Diceros bicornis minor: one gene and its partner. The protein of the gene in region 1 purifies or fractionates together with the protein of each later gene. This does not show direct contact. Links are inferred from orthologs where the notes say so. Each region holds a gene or a part of one and is shown on either strand. Other genes may lie near its edges.

Region 1 (11,179 bases):
CCAGAGTACATGCTTAGCCTTTTGCAGTTCACATCTTGACGTGAATGAGAAGGCATGGGAGAAAGATTAGCAGGTATTGGGAGAGAGGAGAGAAAAGGAGCAAGGTCAGATGGAAGACGGTGTACTGAGGACGCTGGGAGGGCGGGAAGCCCAATGTCAGGATCGTCCTAGGTCAAGGGCACCAAAATCCCGCTAACTTGATACTGCACTCTTTTTTTTCATTTTTAATTACAAAGTTATATATGCTTGTTGGAAAAAAAGCCAATCAACACAGAAAAGCATGATACACAAAACACAAGTCCTCTGTGTTAATGTAGAAAATAAAGGTCCTCTGTGTGCTCCTGCTGCAGACTGTGGTTTCAACACAGCTCTTCAGATTTGTCTACGCATGTACCAATAAGTGCACATATCTATTTAAAGACAGGTAATCCTGTTTATACCTTCGACAACTCACCTAATGTCTGATGGAATAATATTCTGCTGGGAATTTTTTACAGTTTCCAAGCACGAGGAATTAACTCCAGGAAGCCGTTCCAGGCGACAGGAGGAGTCAGATCAGGGCTGACCAGTGAGAGTCTGCAGTGATGGATGTGTCCTGTTTTGTGCTGTCCCCACATGTGGCTGTCAAGCCCTTAAAATGCCGCTAGTGCAGCTGGAACTGAATGGTGGATTTTAGTGAATTTAAACAATGCTCCTTTTCTCTCCTCTCTCCCACTACTTGCCAATCTTTCTCCCATGCCTTCTCATCCACGTCAAGATGTGAACTGCAAAAGGCTAAGCAGGTACTCTGCTCTGCGATGTGCACCGACTTTAACGGGAGGGGGGGGAGCAGGTCCCCCAGGTGGTCACATGTGGCTGGTGGCTGCTGTGTTGGTCAGTGCAGGCTGGACAGACAGAAAGTGGCAGCGATCTCTGCAGCCTAAGAGAACCTTTGTGCCAGGGCAGGACTGTGCCTGGTCCCCACGAATGTAGGAGAAGGGAGACCACCTCCCCACAGCCCCGGGGGGATCAGCTCTCATGCTGTACCCGGTTTGGGGCTCGGGGCCGGTAGCTGGGTGAGAGTCTGGAGGCGTTCGGGCCCAGTGACCCATGCAGGATTCAGGGGTCATGCACTGTTGTCGCTGCCTGGCTTTGGGTTTTCCAATAGAACTTCCAATAGACTTGAAATGTTTGGATCTCTGTCCCTACACTTTGTCCCTACACTTTCACGTCTCATGTCTGGATTTTGGGGTTTAGAGCACCCTTCTGGCACCTCCTCACTCTGCTCCCACCCGGGAACCGGGGCTTGTCCAGGTCCCTGGCACTTGCAGGTGAGTGAGGGAAGCATGTCCGCCCTGCCCTGTTTCTTTCCCCTCACCCTTCAGTGGCTATTGTCTTTGTAGCTTACACAGTCATTGGCTTCCCAAGGTGGACTTTTTCTTGGTGTCTTGTCGTTTATTCAGTTAGCAAGAATTTGTGGCAAATTTGGGTTTGGAACCCAGTGCCCTGAGTTCCCCTCTGCTTTACAAAAGGAGCTTCAGGAGTTGATGGCGTAATTGTTTTTCTTCAGGGCACAATTTTAAATTGTCATTCTCCAGGCTTCTTCGGAGGGGGCGTGTGTGAAGGGTAGTCATTATGTTGTACTTTTGTGACCTTCCTTGTTTATTATTTGTGTTGATTTTGATATTCTCACATCTGGAACAGAATTTTTTTCAGAGTGCAGAATAACACACAAAACATGGTGATTTTTTTCTTGACTAGTTTTCTTTTTTTTGTGTGTGTGAGGAAGATCAGCCCTGAGCTAACATCCATGCTAATCCTCCTCTTTTTTTTTTTTTTGCTGAGGAAGACTGGCTCTGAGCTAACATCTATTGCCAATCCTCCTCCTTTTTTTTTTTGCCCCCAAAACCCCAGTAGATAGTTGTATGTCATAGCTGCACATCCTTCTAGTTGCTGTATGTGGGACTCGGCCTCAGCATGGCTGGAGAAGCGGTGCATCAGTGCACGCCCAGGATCTGAACCCGGGCGGCCAGTAGCGGAGCGCGTGCACTTAACCGCTAAACCACGGGGCCGGCCCTTGCCTAGTTTTCATACATGATTAGAGTATCTTTCCAAAATTCTGGAGCAGTGTCTGAACACTGCTTTCTGCTTTGCTCGTTCTGTCAGATATTGTTTGATCTGAGCCTCCCAGCCAAGGGAATGGGCCAGCTGAGAGATGCAGCTGGGTGTCAGGGTGGTGACAGCCGGGCACCACGTCTCTCTCCCGAGCCTCCCTGTGACTGATGCCCTTAAATAATTGCAACCAGCTCAGCTGCATGAATTTTTCAAAACATTGCTTAAATTCCCTAGTTCACTACAAACCTATTAGAATGGCTTAAACAAATAAAACACAACTGATTCAGCCACGTGCTTGGGGAGGAGGCTCGGGGACTGGAGACGGGTGCATTGCTGGTGGGAACGCAAAATGGTGTGGCCACCTTGGCAGTTTGGCAGTTTCTTAAGAAGGTAAACATACTCTTCCCACATGATCCAGCCATTCCACTTTTAGGTATTTACCCAAGAGAAGTGAAAACATACTCACACAAAAATCTGTTTTTGAATGTTTATAGTGGCTTTACTGACAATTGCCAAAAACTGGAAACAGCCCAAATGTGTGGGCGTGGATAAACACCCTGTGATGCGTCCACTCCACTGGCTGACCCAGCAACAAGAAGGAACAAAGCCCACCGACAAAACAGGCACGCAGCTCATGTGCGCCCCAAGGGGTGAACGGACCTGAGGACAAGCTGCGGCCGCAGGATCCCGCTTACGTGACTCCCTGGAAAAGGCACGACTTTAGTGGCAGAGCGCTGGCCCGTGGATGCCAGCATCTGGGTGGGGACAGAGGCTGATCGTGCGGTGGCACAAGGAGGACTTTGGGGGCGATGGAGGTGTTCTGCGTCTCGACTGTGGCGGTGGCTGCGTGGCGACCGTGCTTGTGAGAACTCACAGACCTGCGCGTGAGAAAGGCTGGATGTGTACCTCAAGTAAATGACCTGCCTCACTCAGCTCAGCCGAATACAAACAGCAACAGTCCGCAGTCAACAGCTCTAAAGCATAAACTACAGGTCAGTGCAGCCTAACCGTTCGCTGTATTAGAAAGGAATGATATGTATGCCAGACAGGAAAGTGTGAAAAGTCTGTAATTGTTCTAGGAGGGAAAAAACATTCACTATTAGTTGTTTTGATCATTTGGAAATGAAAAATTAAATCTCATCTTAGAAGCCAGAAGCCTCAAGTTCAAGCATCAATCGCACCACTGACCACTTGCCTGGATCTTTAAAAAGACCTAATTCTGACCGACGACTGTTTCTTCGTCTGTAAAACGACATTCAGCCGTGCCTGCCGCCTTCACGGGACGTTCTGATGATCATTCAAACGTGAGGATTTCTTTCAGGGCCTACTCTAGAGACGCAGTGTTAGTTGGTTTAACTTATTGTTTAATTTATTTCTTTACTCTTATGAGTAATGCACGTTCATGGCAAAAAAATAAAAATTCAAATGCTGTAGAAAGATGTAAAGGAAAAAGGAAAAGATCCCTCATCCTCAAAAAAAGAGAAAGAATCCCTGGTTCAGCCAATGAGCTCCTTTCCTTTTGAGCCTGACTGATCTGCTCTCTGCGGGCTCAGCACCTGGCGTCCCGGCTGCTCCTGCGTGTACCCTGCCCCTGACGACCTTGAGACTCAGCTCTGCTGTCCCACCCTGGCTTCAGGAGGAGCCACTGCCTCTCTTCCCCCCTTGGAGCATTCTGCATGTAATTCTCTGACAACAGTAGTACCAGGACCAACCACCAACACCAGCTTCTCTGTTCGAAAGGCCCCATATCCATCTATTTGCTCAGTCCTTATGACAACTCTTTACAATAGGCGCCATTGTTGTCCCCACTTTACAGATAAGGAAACCGAGGCACAGAGAGACAGTCACTTGCCAACGCCCCTCTGCTGGACTTGGACACCTGTCCTTCTCGCTCCAGGGTTCCTGCACTTGCCTGGGGTGCTGGGCGCCTCTTGCCTTCCAAACTCTGTAGAAGTCATGCTATTGTCAGAGCATGGTCCTGCAGCCACTGCCAGAGCGAGGAAAGCAGATCTGGTGCTTCTCTCTCCTCCAGCTCCTCCTGGGGAAGGCAAGGTGCTTTTCAGCCTTGTGTTTGTGCCTGGAACACACCAGGTACTCTACAGGTGTCGGTTGAGCCAGTGAGGCCGTGAGTCAGGGAGTAGAGTTTGTGCCTACCCAAAGGAATTGAAATCAGGACCCCGAAGAGCTGTCTGCACACCCATGTCCTCTGCAGCGTTATTCACGATAGCCAAGGTATGGAAACGACCTGAGTGTCCATCAGTGGAAGCACGGATAAAGACGATGTGGTATATACACATACACAATGGGATATTATCCAGCCATGAGAAACAAGGACATCCTGCCATTTGCGACGACATGGATGGACCTTGAGGACATTATGTAAAGTGAACTAAGACAAATTCTGTACGATATCAGTTATATGAAGAATCTAAAATAGTCATACCCATAGAAACAGAGAGTAGAATGGCAGTTGCCAGGGCTGGGGAGAGGGAGGAAGGGGAGCCATTAGTCAAAGGGCACGAAGTTTCCTTCACACAGGATGACTAAGTCCTGGAGAGCGACTGTCCGGCACAGAGCCTGTCGTCCATAACACTGTCCTGTTCACGTAATGTCCACTAAAAGGGTAGGTCTCACGTTAAGTGTTCTTACCACACACACAACATCATCATAATAATAACGATAACAACAATAATAACAAAGGGGTGGGTGGGAGGAAAGTCTGGGTGGTGATAAACGTGTTTATGGCCTTCACGGTGGTGATGGGTTCACGGTGGTGATGGGTTCATAGGTGCATACTTACCTCTATAAGATGGTTTAAAAAAAAAATAAGAGATGGGGCCAGCCTGGTGGCATAGCAGTTAACTTTGTGTGCTCCGCTTCAGCAGCCTGGGGTTCGCAGGTTCGGATCCTGGGTGTGGACCAACACACCACTTGTCAAGCCATGCTGTGGCGGCGTCCCATATAGAGTAGAGGAAGATGGGCACAGATGTTAGCCCAGGGCCAGTCTTCCTCAGCAAAAAAAAAAAAGAGAGAGACAGAGAGAGGATTGGCAAGAGATGTTAGCTCAGGGCTAATCATCCTCACAAAAAAAATAAATAAATAAGAGGTGATGAGAGCATCTGTACCTCCTGCTGACCCCTCCACGTGACGCATGAAAGGGCATGGGCTCCGTGCTTGGACGCTGGGCCAAGCTCTCGCTCTACTTCCCGCCCTGGGGGATCCCCCGTTGCACTCTCTCTTCTGTCACTACCACGCTCACATGGCTGCTGTGAGAGTGAGAGGGAACACCCCTCAAGCACTGACCGAGTTTCCCCCACTCCCTGCCCTGACGGCCACCAAGCAGAGGCCAGACTTCTCCAGCCACCACCAGGCTCAACTTTGAAAACACTGTGCATTCGGTTTGGAAAACCCGGAGCTGTGTGTCACCCTCAGTCTCTGCCTCGGCCTGTGATGCAAGCGCGTTCAGTCCACACTGAGACCACATCCTTCCTGCCCCTGCTGGGCTGTGACCGCTATAAATTCATCAAGTTTCCTTTCCGGCTGTTCCTGAGACCACATCTGGGTGAGTCCAGCTCCACGGAGCAGGATGACGGAAAGGGCCGGGGAATAATGGGGAGGGGTGTCGAGGGCCAGACTCGCCTTGGTTAACGGACTTGGGATTTCTTCTGCCAGCCTCCAAGTCTGTCCTCCAACAATGATTCTGGAATGTTCTTTTATGTTTATCATTTGGACTCTATGTGTGCAAGTGTTGGGGGGGTGCCGAGGACACGGGCAGCAACCACGGCTTACCCCATGACTCCAGCATTCCACCAGGGAGCGGGTGGGTGAGACGTGTGTGGGGAAATGAGGCAAAGGCCCAGAGGGGTAAGCGTCAGGGCAGAGTGCACTGGGGTTAAGGTCAGGGGAGCACAGAGAGGCGGAGTCCTGCTGTGGATGAGAGATTGATGGAGCAGGACCTGGGAGGGTCTGCAGAGCTGGTGGATCTGTCTGGAGACCCCTCGACCCCCCACCAAATACATTAGGGGGTAGACTTGGGGTTGTGCGAGGCCAGGAGTGGAGCGGCACGAGTGGCGATAGGAGAAGGAGAGATGAGTGTGGTTGAGGCGTCTCAAACGTCAGACCGTGGTCGTTATAAATTCCGCTTTGCTCCACTGCTTCACAGCGCCCCTGCCTCCTGTTAGCATCATCGGTGGCTTTGGCTGATGTGCTTTTCCAAATTCAGGAATACGAAGCACTCAAGGCCAAACAAATCCAGCGTGTTCATCTGTCCAAAACCAGTTGAAGTGGCAGACTGAAAGACACAGCAGCTTTCCACTCTCTGGGGAACTTGAAGTCCGGTTAGGAAAATGGAGTGGGGGACGCCACAGTGAGAAGCTGTGTGTGATAAACGCTTTCCTTTTAATGGTATATTCTATTGTCTTTGATCACTTTTGTTTCTATCTGACTACGATACACAGTTAAGTGGTGGAAGAAATGGTCTCCTATCTTTTCAGGCTGTGAAAAGTGCAGGGGCAGCGGCGTGGGCTCAGAAACGGATGACCCTGGTCTAAATCCTGGCTTCGCCCCTTCCTGGCTGCGAAACTCTGGGCAATTCTCTGAGCGTCTCTAAGACAGTCTCTACTTCCATAAAGCGGAGCTAGGAATAGAGGCACCTCGTAGGGCTTTGGGAGGTTAGATGAGGAAAAGCATCAGTGCAGTGCCCAGCCCACGAGAAGCTCTCCGTAAATGTCCTTTCTAATACCTATCACAATTACAGATTTTACCAGGAGACATTAAAGAGGGATATGTTTCCACTCTTCCCCCTACGCGCCCCAAGCCCCGTCTCATTTCTGTTTCCGTCAATCAGTGGATTGATAGAAGAGCAGTCGCAGAGCAGCCCCTCCTCCGCCTGCCTCAATGTTCTCCCTCTGTCTCTAGCCGTGCACTGCTCTGCTATCACCACAGTCATTCCCTGGCCTCCTTCTTTCATCCCCCATCCATCTTTCCTCGGGTCAAAACAGAAACAAGGAAGCAGAGTCTTTCAATTGGAAGGAACTTAAAGGCCATCCTTCCCACTCCGTGATTTTACAGACTTGGAAACTGAGGTGAGGGACAGTGAAGAGCTTGTCAGAGGTCATAGCCCAGTAACCAGTGGGACCAGGTGCCCCCGGCCATATGTCGAGGTGGCGCCGTGAAGCAGTGCGGGCTTCCATCATGCTGTTAATGCGGTCCAGTCTGTGGTTTTAATTATTGTTTCTCTCCACAGGGAAACTTTCTTCCATGGCTCAGGACACAGTCCTGGGCAGAGCCGGCAGGAAAGTTTCTGGTAAGTATTTGGCTCACATTTCAAAACCAAAGATGGCGACTTGTTACAGCCCAGTGATGTTTCCTCCTTGCAGTCTTCTGGGTTTTTGATAGTTTAGTTCTCTTCAGGGTGGACTTTTAAAAACACGTTCCTCACCCATATGCTGTTTTCACCACCGGACTTCCCAGTGTGGACGTATGCCCAAGCTGCCTGACCAGGGCTGCAGGAGAGCATGGCAGGCGTCCGCTGCAAGCTGGCGCGCTACCTGGAGGACCTGGAGGACGCAGACCTGAAGAAATTCAAGATGCACTTGGAAGACTATCCTCCTCAGAAGGGCACCCCGCTCCCTCGGGGTCAAACAGAGAAAGCAGATCCTGTGGATCTCGCCACCCTGATGATTGACTTCAACGGGCAGGAGAAGGCGTGGGCCATGGCAGTGTGGATTTTTGCTGCGATCAACAGGAGAGACCTCCACGAGAAAGCTAAGAGGGATGAGCCAGAGTGGGGTGAGTGGAAACAAGAAGGTATTTTTAAAATAGTGATAAAATAGATGTAGCTTAAAATTTACCGTATTTAAGTGTATGATTCAGTAGTGCTAAGCACATTCACGTTGTTGTGCAATCAATCTCCAGAACTCTTTTTCATCTTGCAAAACTCCACACCCATTAAGCAACAATTCCTCATTCGCCTCTCCCCTCAGCCCCTGGCAAACACCACTTTCTGTCTCTATGAATTTGATCATTCCGCAGACTTCTTATAAATGGAATCATAAAGTACTTGTCTTTTTCTGTCTGGCTTATTTCACTTAGTATAATATCCTCAGGCTTCATCTATGTTGTCACATGTGACAGGATTTCATTCCTTTTTAAGGCTGAATAATATTCCATGGTATGTATGTAGCACATTTTGTTATCCATCAATGGACATTCAGACTGCTTCTAGCTTTTGATTATGGTGAACAATGCTGCTATGAACATGGGTGTACAAATCTCTTTGAGACCTTGCTTTCATTTCCTTTGGGTATATTCCCAGAAGTAGAATTACTGGATTATATGGTAATTCTATGTTTCATAATATTTTCCATAGTGGCTCCACCATTTCACATTCCCACCCACAGTGTACACCCAAGGGTTCTAACTTCTCCACATCCTCGCCAACAAGTATGTTACGGGGTTTTTTTTTGGATAGTAGCCATCGTATGGGGTGTGAGATGGTATCTCATTGTGGTTTTGATTTGCATTTCCCTGATGACTAGTGACATCGAGTGTCTTTTCATGTTCTTGTTGGCCGTCTGTTTACCTTTGGAGAAATGTCTATTCAAGTCCTTTTCCCATGTTTTAATTGGGTTTTGTTGTTATTGCTGTTGACTCGTAGGAGTTCTTCACATATCCTGGATATGAACCTCTTATCAGATGTATGATCTGCAAATATTTTCTCCCATTTCGTGGGGTCCTTTTCACTCTGTTGATAGTTTCCTTTAATGTGTCAAAGCTAGTATGTTTGGTGTTTTTTTGTTTTTTGTTTTTGTGAGGAAGATCAGCCCTGAGCCAACATCTGCCAATCCTCCTCTTTTTGCTGAGGAAGACTGGCCCTGGGCTAAAATCCGTGCCCATCTTCCTCCCCTTTATGTAGGACACCGCCACAGCATGGCCTGACAAGCGGTGCGTTGGTGCGTGCCCGGATCTGAACCCTGGTCGCCAGCAGTGGAGTGCGCACAGTTAACCGCTACGCCACGGGGCCAGCCCAGTATGTTTGTTTTTTAATCAATTCTTTTATTATCTTGGCTTCATCCTCTCTCTTCTTCTCATGACGGTACTATGAGAAGATGGAGGAAAGCACTTTGCTTTTTTCTAGTTCCTTTAAAACCCCACGTCAGGGCTCATCTACCCCTAGGAACCTCCCCTGTTTAGCTTCACTTTATCTGAATCTCTCATCCAGCTCCTCATGTGTCTGTCTGCACAGCCAGCAAGCTTGAGTGTCTGCTTCCCATGGCTCAGGGGGCCAGCTCTCACCTCACAGAAAAGCCTTTCCTGTGGCCATGACTTTGGGCACTGGAATGGTGAAAGAAATTTCCTGCATCCTGTGGGCATGCTCGGGGTCACGCTCTTTCTTTTTTTTTTTTTTTTAAATTTATTTATTTAGTGTGTTTGTGCGTGTGTGAGGAAGATCAGCCCTGAGCTAACATCCACGCCAATCCTCCTCTTTTTGCTGAGGAAGACTGGCCCTGAGCTAACATCCGTGCCGATCTTCCTCCACTTTATGTGGGACGCCACCACAGCATGGCCGGAGAAGCGGTGCCTCGGTGCGCGCCCGGGATCCGAACCCAGGCCGCCAGGAGCGGAGCGCGCGCACTTAACCGCTACGCCACGGGACCGGCCCCAACACGCTCTTCCTTAAGCTTGGTGTTCTGAGCAAGGGAGGGGCACAAGGAAGGACTCAGAAGGATCTAGAACCTCAAGGATGATGATGTTGAGCTGGTGGGAAGGAGGAGTAAAAGTGCTTGGTAGCTGGGGAGAAGCATGATGAGGCGGGAAGGCAACGTGGGTATGAAGAAGGGGAGAAAAATGCCCAGGACCCGAGGCAGGGGCGCACGGCAGTGGGGTGCTCTGGAGAAACTGCTGTAATAGTACAACCATAACTGCGTCAGCGCCTGCTACTCACCAACCACAGTCAAGGGTGACGGTTGTGGTTGCAGAAGTCGTTTGCAGGCAGTTTCGTGGATTTTGTTCATTCCTCACACAAACCCCATGAGGCCGGCACTTTCAGATGAACTTTTGCCTTCACTGTGTAAGTGCAGCAAGCCATTTTGTTTTGTGATTGGGTTACCAATACCATTTGCCCGCAGAATAAGTAGACACCTACCAGGAGTCCTTTATGTCGTTCTTGGTCTCCTGCCCTCCTCAGGTTCTCTGCCCATGTGTTTCCCCTGTGCCAACTCTTGTCCTACCATGCCTAAATTTCTCCTGTGGACGCCTCTTTGGAATATGTGATTTCGTGATTGTTTACATCTGTGATGCTCAACTGTGGATGCATGTTGGAGCTTTTAAAACTTAGTGGTGCCTGGGCCCCACCTCTTAAAGCTTCTTAATGTCAGCCAGGATTCTGAACCGCTGAGTTAGACACAGATTCTCACTTTGGGAGACCCAGAATGTGGGTAAGATGAATTCCAGGCGTTTGAGGTCAGGGAAGGATGCTCCCGCTGGCCCGTGGCCATCTTGGGGATATTGCAGAGCGTGGGGAGGGCCTCAAAACCAGAACCCCAGCAGGGTGGGGTGGTGAGGGGAGTCTCCCAAAGACAAAGGAGGTGAGGGAAGCCTTGCCTGCCAGTGATTTCCAGGCCTGGGGGAGCGATTCCTCAACTTGATAAGAGGGGCCACAATGCTGGCTGGGTGGGTGACATCCACTGCTTTGAAATTAGGATGGCAGGGACACCCTCAGCTGGTGTTCACCTGCCCTCCTGTCAGCCACAGCTCTGAGCCGTGTGCTGGTTGGGAGGGGTCCAGCCAGGAGCTCTGACCTGTGCCCGGTGTTGGGTATTGGGTCTCAATCACATCACCTTAGTCAGGAGTCCTGGGTTTTGACATTTTGTATCTTTTTCCTTTTATTTTCAGATCATTCGCATGTGATATGCCAAGAAGAAAGTGTTGAAGAGGAATGGATAGGTTTACTGGGGTACCTCTCCAGAATCTCTATTTGTAAAAAAAAGAAAGGTAAGCCATGAGGGTGGGAGTTCCAGTTGGGTTTGGAGACCCAGTTTGGGAGGCACTGGGGAGCTGGGGAGCTTGGTCAGCCTGCACGCTC
Region 2 (11,717 bases), on another chromosome or scaffold:
CACAATTCAGTCTAAAAGCCATTAGTTGAAACCAATCTAGGTAGGCCTCTGGTTGCTGTGGAGCAGTAGTGAGCTGGTGTGGGATGTCAGAGAAGCAGGGTGAGGATGGTGTCTGTGAGCAGTGTAATGGGGTGGGGGTGAGGGTGGCAGCTATGGGAGATTAGTTACATCTTGAGAGGTTGATCAAATAAGGAAAAGTGGAAGAAAATGGGAAGCTGTGATACTGTAATAGCATGAGCACACCTAGCTCCCAGGTCTTGGTTTTTAAATACTATTCTCCTCTAAAAGGAACCAGGGCTCTTAGAGAAATGGCCGACTTCAGGACTGGGGTGCGGATGGTACAAGGTAAATCTGAAGATCTTGCTGTGCTAAAAAGTTAAGTGCTCAAAGAACAATGGGGACATGTCAAACAAATACAGAAAACATCTTGAAGGGCCCCTCCTGGCTAATCTTGAGACAATTTGTACATCAAAAATAAATAATATTAATAACAGATTATAACCCACTGGGTAAAATAGGAATTCATGAGTCCACACTGATTAAAATAAAATGCTAAATAAAAACAGGAGGAAACGTCTCTTTATGGTAAAGTAACAACTGATAAATGTAGTGGGAATAATGGCATTCACCATTTGGCAACCACCGTGTTGATAATTAATCCAGTGAAGCAACATCGATTAATGTTAAAACTAGTGTGTGGAATAAACAATAATGTGCAACAAAAATTTCACAATATTAAAAAAAAAGATATTTTTGCATGCAAAAAAAAAAAAGAAAATGGCCATTTGGCAACCACTGCAGTAATAGCTGTTTTAGGCGAGGATCATCATTGAATGCTAAAACTAGACAGTAGAAATTTGATGAAAAACAGAATATTTACATAGTCTCCAAGTATCTAATAAGTATCCATAAGATATTTATTAATTTCAAAGAGAAAAAAAAATAGTAATTTGGCAGTGGATAGGCCTGGCAGAGACCATCTTAACCACATGACTGAAGTAGACATCACCAGTAGAGAGACAAATAGAGACCACATGCTTCTGATACAATGTACTGAGGGGGAAACAACATCAATTTCTGCTAAAACACATAGCGAGAATCTAATCACAAGAAAACATCAAACAAATCCAAATTGAGGGACAGTCTACAAAATAAATGGCCCATAGTCTTCAAAATGTCGAGGTCATAAAAGTTAAAGAAAAACAGAGAAACTTCCAGGTTAAAGGAGACTAAAGATACATGACAGGCAAATTCAACATCTGATCTGGTATTAGATGGTGGACCAGAAAAAAAATGTCTTACTATTTATTTACTTTTAAAATAAATTATATTAGTGGGACAACTAGCAAAATTTACATAAAGTCTATAGATAAGATAATAGTGCTATTATCAGGGTTAATTTCCTGATCTGGATAATTATATTGTGATTATGTAAGAGTGTCCTTGTTTTTGGGAAATACACACTGAAGTATTCATCATGTCTATAACTTACTCTCAAGCAGTTCACAAAAAAATGAGAGAGAGAATGATAAAGCAAATGTGGTAAAATGTTAACGTTTGGAGAATCTGGGTGAAAGGTGTATAGGAATTCTTTGTACTACTTTTGCAACTTTTCTTTAAGTCTGACATAATTTAAAAAAAAAAGCCAAAAAAGCCAAAAAACTCTCTGAGCTGTAACTTCCTCCCTAATACATCAGAATTGATGTACAGATCTAAGACATACCAAATGAGTTAGTACTCTATAAACCATGAAGTTATAGTTATAAATGTTAATTATTGTTTAATGTGAGCTATTGTATGTACTCCATGGAGGCTTTGTGAATGGAGTAAATATGCTACAGCTGAGCCCTGATAATTTAGCAGATTAGAAATATATTTCAGAAACTACAGCCATCATGGTGATCCCTTCTGAAAACAAGAAAAGTGGTCTAACAAACCAAAAAAAAAAAAAACTAGTGTGTGGAAGTTTGATGAGGAACAGACCATTGATATTGTCTCAAAATCTTCCCTACAAAATACTGGTTACAAAAGGGAAAAGTTGGAGTGGAGAAACCTCGCAGACCCCACTTATTTGAGTGATTACAGTTAACATCCCCAGTGTTGGAACAAATCAAAATTGTGTAGCACCTAAACTGAGGGATGTTCTTCAAAATATCTGGCCAATAATCTTCAAATGTGTCAAGTTATTGAAAATCAAGGAGGTACATAACTGTTTCAGGTTGAAGGACCCTAAGAAGACGTGAGAACTAAATGCGACATGTGATCCCAGCTAAGCCAGGCCTGGACTCTGACCTACGGAAACTGAGATAATAAGTGTGTTGTTTTAAACCACTAAGTTTGTGCTAATTTGTTACGCAGCACAGAACACTAATACATAGGTCACCTTACTCATGAACATAGATACAAAAACCTTGAACAGAGGATTAACAAATAGAATCTACCAATTCATGAAAATGATACTACATCACAAACAAGATAGGTTTATTCAAGGAATAGGAGATTGGTTTAAAATGTGACCATCATCAATAATTAACCACAATAACAGAATAATGAAGAAAAATTTCATGATTACCTTAAAAGATACAGAAACAGCTGATCACACTCAGTATCCATTTATGATTACAACTCTGAAAAAAATTATGCCTTTAGCAAACATCCTACTTAGTGGTGAATTATTCAAAGCTTTCCCTCTTCATGCAGGAATGAGCTAAGAATACCTACTCACCCCACTTCTAGTCAACATTTTACTGGAGGTGCTAGCTAGTTCAAAAGGTAAGAAATAAAAGGCATAAGGATTGGAAAGGAAAAAATAAGATGGATTTTTTTCAAATGACTTGAATGTGTTTATGGAAAATCCAAAGAACCTCTATAAAAGACTTTAAGTTTAAAGAGGTTCCTGGATACAAGACCAACATATGAATATGAATTGTATTTTTACCTACCAGCATCAAACATAAAATGAAATTTTAAAAAGACTCCATGGATTAGGAGAAACTGAAGAACTTGGGAGAACTTTACTGACAGAAGCAGTGGGATGATAGGATTCCTGTTCTGCAGAATCACCTCTGAGGTGACTTCAAGAAACACCTCCGTAAATAGACCGCAGGTATCAAATAGCTGCAAGAGTTGGTACCTCTAGTGGCTGGGATCCCTTATCCCGCTGTCAAAGAATGATTATCCTTAATGTCTTTGTGTGGCCTGAGCATACATGTATGTTCATTTTTTCAACCATTTGGACATAAATGGGGTGCATACTATAGACGGACTCTTCAGCACGTTGCTTTTTTGACTTACCGGTAATATATCTCAGAGATCAATCCATATTACAAGCACATTTAGTACATTCTCGTTTCTTAAACTTTTTAGGTTGAGATAATTTCAAACTTACGGAAGAGTTGCAGGAATAGTACAAGCACCTTCGCCCGGATGCACCAACTGCTGACACTGGGCTGCATTTGCTTCCTATTTGCCCTGTTGCTCCTGCTTCCTTCCTTTCCTCATGTGGGTCTGGGTCTGTGCGTGTTTTCCTGAACCATTTGAGAGCAGGTTGCATAGATCATACCCCTTCACCCCTAAATCCTTCATTGTGTATTTCCTGAGAACAAGGGCATTCTCTTTCATAAACAGAGCACCATTTTATAGAATTCAGAAGATTCAACATTGATACAAAACTATTCATATATCATCCATATTCAAATTTCATCAATTGTCCCAATAATGTTCTTTTATAGCAATTTTTTTCCTGATCCAGGATCCCAACCAGGATTGGGTATTGTATTTAATTGTCTTGTTTCTCTAGTCTCCTTTCAATCTAGAATAGCTCTCAGCCTTCTTTCCTGACATTTACATTTTTGAAAAGGTTTTTTCTTTTATTACCTCATTCATTTTACTTGATGCAGGGTTGAGAAAAATTGGATTGGCCCAAAAGGCTCTTTCTTTACCTTCTTCCTACAGATTTTGAGCACAAAGGAAGAACAGGCTGGTGGCAGCTTGAAGCTCCAGACAAGACCACTTACTCCCCCAGGCTGCTCTCACTGCTACATGATTGATTATGTTCTCTGACCCCTTTTCACCTGGATAGAGCATGGGGTGGGGGGTGGTCATTGAGGGGGATTCCCTCTCTACTGAAGTGTTTTTTGTTTTTTGTTTTTTGCTGAGGAAGATTACCCCAATCTTCCTCATTTCTTTTTCCTTGAGGAAGATTAGCCCTGAGCTATCATCTGTGCCAATTCTCCTCTACTTTATATGTGGGTCACTGCCACAGCATGGCTGATGAGTGGTGTAGGTCCACGCCTGGGATCCAAACCCACAAATCTGGGCCCCTGAAGCAGAATGCGCAGAACTCAACTGCTTTACCGTGGGGCCGGCCCCCTGAAGTGCTTTCTTAAGCACAGTTCTCTATGAAGAAAATGAGAGATCAGGAGATCATATGTGCTCTGCTACTTCTCATCTTATAAATCTTCTATGATAGACCCTTTATATTTGCCCTGTGGCACTAGTGGGTTGTGTGTGCGTGTGTGTGCATGTGTGTGTGTCTGCACCCTCTTTGCACTATAGTTGATGACCATGAAGGGAAATACTCCAGTCTATTGCAATGCTATGCATTTTTGGAAGCAGCAAAACTCAACTGCCTCCCTCCCCACGGTAGGAAACATTCCCTCAGGGTCCTAGGAGTTGTGCGATCTCTGGGAGGGTGGATGAATGCTCAAAGTGGGCAGGGTTGCCAGAGTCTCCACTGACTTAGTGGAGGTCAATCTTCTGTGGATGTGTGTACTATTTATGCACAAGAGAAACTGAGTGGTGGAAGAAGAGAGGTTATATGTTCAATTCATTCTCTGAAATCAATCTAGTTTTTAAGCAACCAAGTAACAGTAACTCATGGCAACATGCTAGAATCTTGAAGGTGAATGGAAAAGATTATGATGCATGGAAAAATCCAAATTGGAATGTGCTGAAGTAGATATAAAAGTCAGTGTGCAGCTACTGAAAGGAGGGAGGAACATATAAATTGTTTATTACAAACAAAAAGAGCCAAAGTAACAGGCTCGGAGAAATGAAGTTAAAAGGATTAGACAGAGCTCCTGAATAGAAAGTCCAACGTGGTTTCACTAAAATGACTTCGCAGCAGCCTTTCCCTGCAGATGACTTCAGCATCTACTATGTCCTGTAAGCCTCTGTCTACTACAGCTTTCTAGATAAGCGGAGCTGGGGGGCAGGAGGAGGCCACGCTCCAGGGAGTCAGGGAGCCACATTTGGAAGGGTCCCCTTAGGTTTGACCCATTGGAGGTCCCCCAAAAGGAAGGCAATAGATATTCCTAAAGAATGACAGCCCAGGGCCTCCCATTACTTCGGTGAGTAAGAGTGAAAATGACCATCCATGTAACTAACAGCACTTTCAAACTGGCAGAAGTGTAAGTAGAGGGACTGAGGTGATGCAGCCATCTCATGGAGACCCAATTTTAGAAACTGTAGCTGAAAAGAAAAGTCATAAAGTATAAAGAGGCTGGGCTGCTTGGCACAATAGCCAAATGACCAAAGGAAGCTCCGCGTAGGGAGAGGAGGACTCCTTGGAAGCCCGTGGCGTTCTCTCCTCTGTGCAGGTCTAGTTGGTTCACGTGAACGCCCAAATTCTAGAGCTGACTGTGAAGGACATCCTACATCAGTCACCTCTTTAAAATTTTGTTTAGGTTACCATTTATTAACTATGTAATCTGTGCCACGTGCCTTGCATCGTTTAATCTCATCCTCACTACAACCCTATAAGGCAGGTAGCATTATTCCTATTTTATAGATGAGAAACAGACAGAAGAGTCCCAGAAAATGTAACTACTAAGTGGCAGAGTCATGATTTTAATTAAGATATATTTTTTACGAAGTCTGTGCTCTTTATCTCTCTCTCTATGTATGTATACGCACACATATATGTGCTCTTAATATATGTATATATGCTCCTAATATGTGTATATATTTGCTCTCAATATGTATAGATGCCTTATCTATGTATGTGTATACACACACACACATATACACTCTTAGTATATGATATATAAACCCAAATAACTCTTTACAGACAGGTGATAGGTAGGTAGGTAGATAAATAATCCTCTCTACATACCACTGCTTATCCCTTAGTACATTACCATGGGTAAATGATTAAGCCACTTAAACATGACATCTCATCTGTATAACAGGATTTAAAAATAAGTGTACCTACCCCAGAGAATTGTTGAATGAATTAAATGGGACAATCCATGTTAAATACTTAATGTAGTGCCAGGCTCAGTACATGATAGCTATTGTTAATAACTACTATCTATTGTTATTATAACTAGTAATAACAATTAAATTACTTGCCCAGCAATAAAGGAAATACTTTGGTATTTACAGAGAAAGCTTGCATTTTTAGCCAAGCAATTCTGGGGACTCTGAAAAGCTGACATTTTCTGTCCTCTGGCTTTGGTTTTAGGAAGAAACTTTGATCTCTGCTTATTTGGCTGCAGGCCCTGTTCAAAGAGTTCCAGACTAAATAATGCAATTTTAGACTTCAAGTTCAAATACTTCAGTCCTTGGTAGGGAGTGTATTGGACGGAAGTCTTATTAAGAACTCTCCTTTGTGTCATGAGGTAGAGAGGGCCTTATCGTCATTTGTACATATTTGGGTCCCTCAAAATGCCTTCCTTTCTTTCCACTTGGCACCAACACAGCGCAGAGTGCATGGATCCCTCTGACACCTCTCCAGGTAGCGAGGCTGATGAGAACCAGTCCCATTTCCAGGGTGTGACTGGCCTGCGGAACCTGGGCAACACATGCTACATGAATGCCATCTTACAGTGTCTCTGCAGCATCTCGCCACTGGTGGAATACTTTCTCTCTGGAAAGTACATTACCGCTCTTCGAAAGTAAGACCACATGCGCTCCCTGCAGCCCAGCCCCCAGTCCCGGCTCCCCCAAGGTGAGGGTAGGGAAGGAACCCTCTGGAGTCCCTTTTACCAGCTACATGAGTCAGCAGAGGCTGCAGCGCCCCAGGTACCATTTCTAGTGTGAGTAAAGCAGGAAGGTCAACCAAGAGAGAATGAAGCTTCATTTTTGGTCTGGTGCCACATGCTTGGGTTTTCAGAGGCCTTCTTTTTATTAAATCAGCCAGAAACACTCCCCTTCCTTCTTCCAAGGGACTGCGGTGAGGTTGCCACTGCTTTTGCCTACGTGATGACAGACATGTGGCTTGGAGACGCAGACTGCGTCTCACCAGAAATATTTCGGTCAGCTCTTGGCAACCTCTACCCGGCATTTATGAAAAAGACACAGCAAGATGCTCAGGAATTCTTGATTCATGTCCTGAATGAGCTTCATGAGGCTCTGAAAAAGGTAAGTCGAACTAATGGCGTTGAAATAGGATAGATCTTCAACTCTACCAGCAACTTTCATTTTTCATTCTTCCATTTGTTCAGTCAATATGGCATACACTGTGCCAGGTACAGGTGCTGGGGGTACGATGGGGAACACTTAAGTTACTATTTGAATAGGTCTATATTTACCAAACGTGGCTGGTCATCAGAATCACCTGGGAAGATTTTTGCCACACAGATTCTAAGGCCCGCACTCCATTGTTACCGAATTAGAATGTCTGGTGGTGACTTCTGGGAAAGCTTACTTGGTATTTTCAGTGATCAGCAGGTGTGGGAACCACTAATCGAGTTCCCTTTGCAAATAACAGCTGCATGGACTGTTTTTCTAAAGTGGAAATCACATTTTTTATAAAAATATATTCCTCACGAGATATAACATATAGAAATTTACAACTTAAAATAAATGTTCTTGGTAACTACACACCCAGGAAAATATTAAGCTTGGTATTAGATGAAAGGACAGATCTATATACTGCAAAGTTTCACCTTCATCCCAAACCTGCCTAATCTGAGTTCTTCATTGGATTAGGACAGACATTTAATAAAACATGAAATCGCCAGTTACTACGGGTTTTGTCTTTATTTGCAAGACTCATTGCCGTCAGCCTTGATCTGTGGAGAGACCCACACTCTCCACAGACATGTCCTTGACTTTATGCAGGGTCCTTGTGCTGATGTTATCTCCCCTCATACCTCACATCCAGGAAATACAGCAAGATCACTAACTACAGCCATTAATCATTCTCATCTGCAGTCCGCAGTTTTCATGTTTGCTAATAATGAGATAATCACGGCAGCACTTTTGTGGGCCGGAGGGGAGGGTGATGGTCAGTAAAAATCACTCAGTCCTCATCTGCAGCCACTCTGAAGTAGATAGCATTCTGGTTCCCAAACCAAACTCGGAATTAGGGGCATTAAATTACTGTCAGGGTGGAACACACAGGGTGTGACGACAGAAGCAAGCCAGAGGGGAGCATGTGTACAGCTCCAGATCAGAGCTGACGCAGAGCGAGCGTGTCTTCTACGGAGGCTGTAAAATCACCGAGTCAGGGTGTGCTCCCGGAAATGCTGTTCCTGCACGTGAGCCAGATGCAAACCAGGCCACAAGGCTGGTTAAACAAGGCTGCCTGGGCCGGCCCCGTGGCCTAGTGGTTAGGTTCAGTGCACTCTGCTTCCACGGCCGGTGTTCAGTTCCTGGGCACAGACCTACACCACTCGTCAGCGGCCATGCTGTGGCAGTGACTCACATACAAAGTAGAGGAAGATTGGCACAGATGTTAGCTCAGTGCCAATTTTCCTCAGCAAAAAAAAAACAACAAAAACAAAAAATCAAGCTACCTTTGGAACTTAAGATTTGCTCTTTTACAGAAGTGTTTCCTAACTAATAATGAAAGGGGAGGCTAGGGAACACAACTTGAAGGGACTGGGGGAGAGATCAGATTCCTTTATTTTACCTCTAGATCAACTTGCACGACTGAAAGCTAGTTTAATAGCTTACTACCCTCTTCCCGGGAAAAACTGGCTCCAGGACCTTATATCACATTATCACAGGCTATCAGCTTAAGGGGCCATGGGCACGGGTTACAAGAGTTAGGGTGTAATCATTCCTCAGCTGCACTTAAGGGGGAAAATAACTGAACTATCAGATATCACACACAGTATATGCTCTTAAGAGATCTTATTCTATTTATTGTCTGAATCCAAAGCTAAATGTTTTCTGGTAGCAATGTATCATTCTGATAGAAAAAATTTAAACATTAAAAAATTTTTTGATGGGCCGGCCCCGTGGCTTAGCGGTTAAGTGCGTGCGCTCCACTGCTGGCGGCCCAGGGTTCGGATCCCTGGCACGCACCGATGCACCACTTGTCTGGCCATGCTGAGGCCGCGTCCCACGTACAGCAACTGGAAGGATGTACAACTATCTACTGGGGCTTTGGGGGAAAAATAAATAAATAAATAAAATCATTAAAAAAAAATTTTTTTTTGATAATCAATAGTTGATTTGGAGCGAATTTGTTCTTTGATTCAGTACCACGGCAGGTCATATGAGAAAGGATCTATTCCCAGATGCTGCAGGAAGGCGATCGCCAGTGAGACCTCCATCATCACCCGGCTGTTCGAAGGGCAGCTCAGTTACAGGGTCACCTGTCTGAAGTGTGAGAACTGCACCTACAAGAACGAAGTCTTCACCGTCCTCTCCCTCCCCATTCCATCTGAATCCCAGTGCTCGCTTCAGGTGGGCATCCTTATTCCTGGATACTTCCATGGTCTTGCTCTACCCCAGGATTTCCTCAGGGCTGTTTCCTACATGTTCTAGTATGAGGGGGGCTGCTTTATAACTTAAAAAAAATTGGAAGCCCATGATGACAATGTTTTATAGAAAAGTCACACGCAGACAAAAATTACTGTGAATTTAGTTGTATTTCAAAATGTACTCAATAAAACAGCCTCATTGTAAAACTGAAAAGATAGTGGGGTTTCTTCAGTCTATTGAGATGGCTTGGTGCATATAGGGAATTTGTACTTTTTGGCAAAAATTTGATGGCCTTTCCTCACCTCAGAGGTCTGTAGGCCCAGATTGGGAACTAGATATAAAAGATTCATCATCTTGAGGTCTTGCATTTTTGACAAAAGCTGTGAAATGTGTTGGGAAGACAGAATAGAATCTAGTGCCTTAGTTTACTTCTTGAGTTTTCTTCACCATAATACCTGAAGTTCATCTATAGAGCCAGCCCTGATGTCCTAGTGGTTAAAGTTTGGCATGCTCCACTTCAGCAGCCCGGGTTTGGTTCCGGGGCGTGGAACCACACCACTCATCTGTCAGTAGCCATTCTGTGGTGGCAGCTCACATAGAAGAAAAAGAAGGACTGACAACTAGAATATACAACTATGTATTGGGGCTTTTGGGAGGGGGAAAAAAAGAGAGGAAGATTGGCAACAGATTTTAGCTCAGGGAGAATCTTTCCCAGCAAAAAAAAAAAGTTCATCTGTAAAGGGGGGGTGGGGGGGTCGGCAGTAGAAGACGGGGAACAGGTGGGAGGCAGGGAGCCTCACAGAATAATACACACTTATATTTTTCTTCCTAAATTATGAAAGCATATCTCTTGCTAAAAGTTTTCACATACCAGAATTGGAGAATAGAATTCTACTGCTTATTCAGACTGGGCTTTGTTCTCAGATCAGACTGCTCAAGATTGCTGGAAAGGAATTCCAAAGACTAAATGAGGTGCTGGCATGTCTACTGAAAACAGAATCTATGCTCATCTTCCTCTTTAGGTTAATGGTGTGCAGAGCCGGGGGGCCTGGCTACACTGAGGAGGTCTCCTGCGGGCATGGGCTCTAATTCTCTCTGTTCTGCTGCTTTTATTATGGGTCACCCCAAACTCTGAGATATGGTGCTTTTCCAATCACCAGATCACTTTTGTGATGAGGTGAATAGCGAAAAGCAGCCGCCTGACTGGTTGGTGGAAATTGCACAGTCAATATTCTGAAATAAACCAGAAACGCTACAATGCTGATTCAGAGATTAGAAGTGAGATGGGCACTTGGATCCATTTCAGTAACTAAATGAGAAGGAAGCAGCTCCTTTGCCAGGTAGGTGTTAACGCCTATCCAGGCTGCAGCTGTGACATTGCTGTCTCCTGGGCTTGGTGACTTTGAGAAAAGTCAAATTACATTGCCAGAGTTCTTCCAAAGTTCTCATATAAACAGAGAGCCCAGGGTGCAGGTGATCTGATTTGGTGACCAAATGCTTTTTTCCCCAACAGGACTGCCTCCAGTGTTTTTTTCAACAAGACACACTGACCTGGAACAACCGAATTCACTGTTCCTTTTGTGAAACCAAGCAAGAAACAGCTGTGAGGGCCAGTATTTCCAAAGCACCAAAAATAGTTATCTTTCACTTAAAAAGGTAAGGATTTTGACATTTTGTGAGCAGATTTTTTTGAATAATATTATCAAGATACAAGTTACATACCATGCAATTGAATGGTATTTGGTATATTACATTAATTTTTAAAAATTTGCGATAAAATATATATAGCAAAATTTGCCATTTTAACCATTCTAAGTGTATAATTCATCAGCATTAATTTCATTCACAATGTTGTGCAACAATCACCCCTATTTCCAAAACTTTTTTGTCACCCCAAACAGAAACTCTGTAACCATTAAGCAGTTACTCGCCATTCCTCCTTCCCCAGCCCCTGGTAACCTCGAACTTACTTTCTGTGTCTATAAATTTGTCTATTCTAGGTACTTCATATAAGAAGAATCATACAATATTTGTCCTTTTTGCTGGCCTATTTCACT

The links.
Region 2: the proteins of NLRP3 (region 1) and USP50 purify together in Homo sapiens (affinity purification with western blotting; 3 studies listed by BioGRID). This does not show direct contact. The link is inferred for Diceros bicornis minor from reciprocal best matches to the Homo sapiens genes NLRP3 and USP50.

What each region holds. Positions count from the first base shown.
Region 1 is NC_080740.1:931,020-942,198, forward strand, and holds the start of NLRP3 (NACHT, LRR and PYD domains-containing protein 3), read left to right. Parts: upstream 1-5,602; 5' UTR 5,603-5,656; intron 5,657-7,339; 5' UTR 7,340-7,399; exon of another isoform or gene 7,400-7,566; 5' UTR 7,567-7,610; coding exon 7,611-7,884; intron 7,885-10,989; coding exon 10,990-11,088; intron 11,089-11,179. UniProt on the Homo sapiens protein: Sensor component of the NLRP3 inflammasome, which mediates inflammasome activation in response to defects in membrane integrity, leading to secretion of inflammatory cytokines IL1B and IL18 and pyroptosis.
Region 2 is NC_080744.1:46,742,380-46,754,096, reverse strand, and holds the start of USP50 (inactive ubiquitin carboxyl-terminal hydrolase 50), read left to right. Parts: upstream 1-6,678; 5' UTR 6,679-6,714; coding exon 6,715-6,899; intron 6,900-7,169; coding exon 7,170-7,365; intron 7,366-9,435; coding exon 9,436-9,642; intron 9,643-11,173; coding exon 11,174-11,316; intron 11,317-11,717. UniProt on the Homo sapiens protein: Deubiquitinating enzyme that removes conjugated ubiquitin from specific proteins to regulate different cellular processes. Regulates the inflammasome signaling pathway by deubiquitinating 'Lys-63'-linked polyubiquitination of the PYCARD/ASC adapter protein.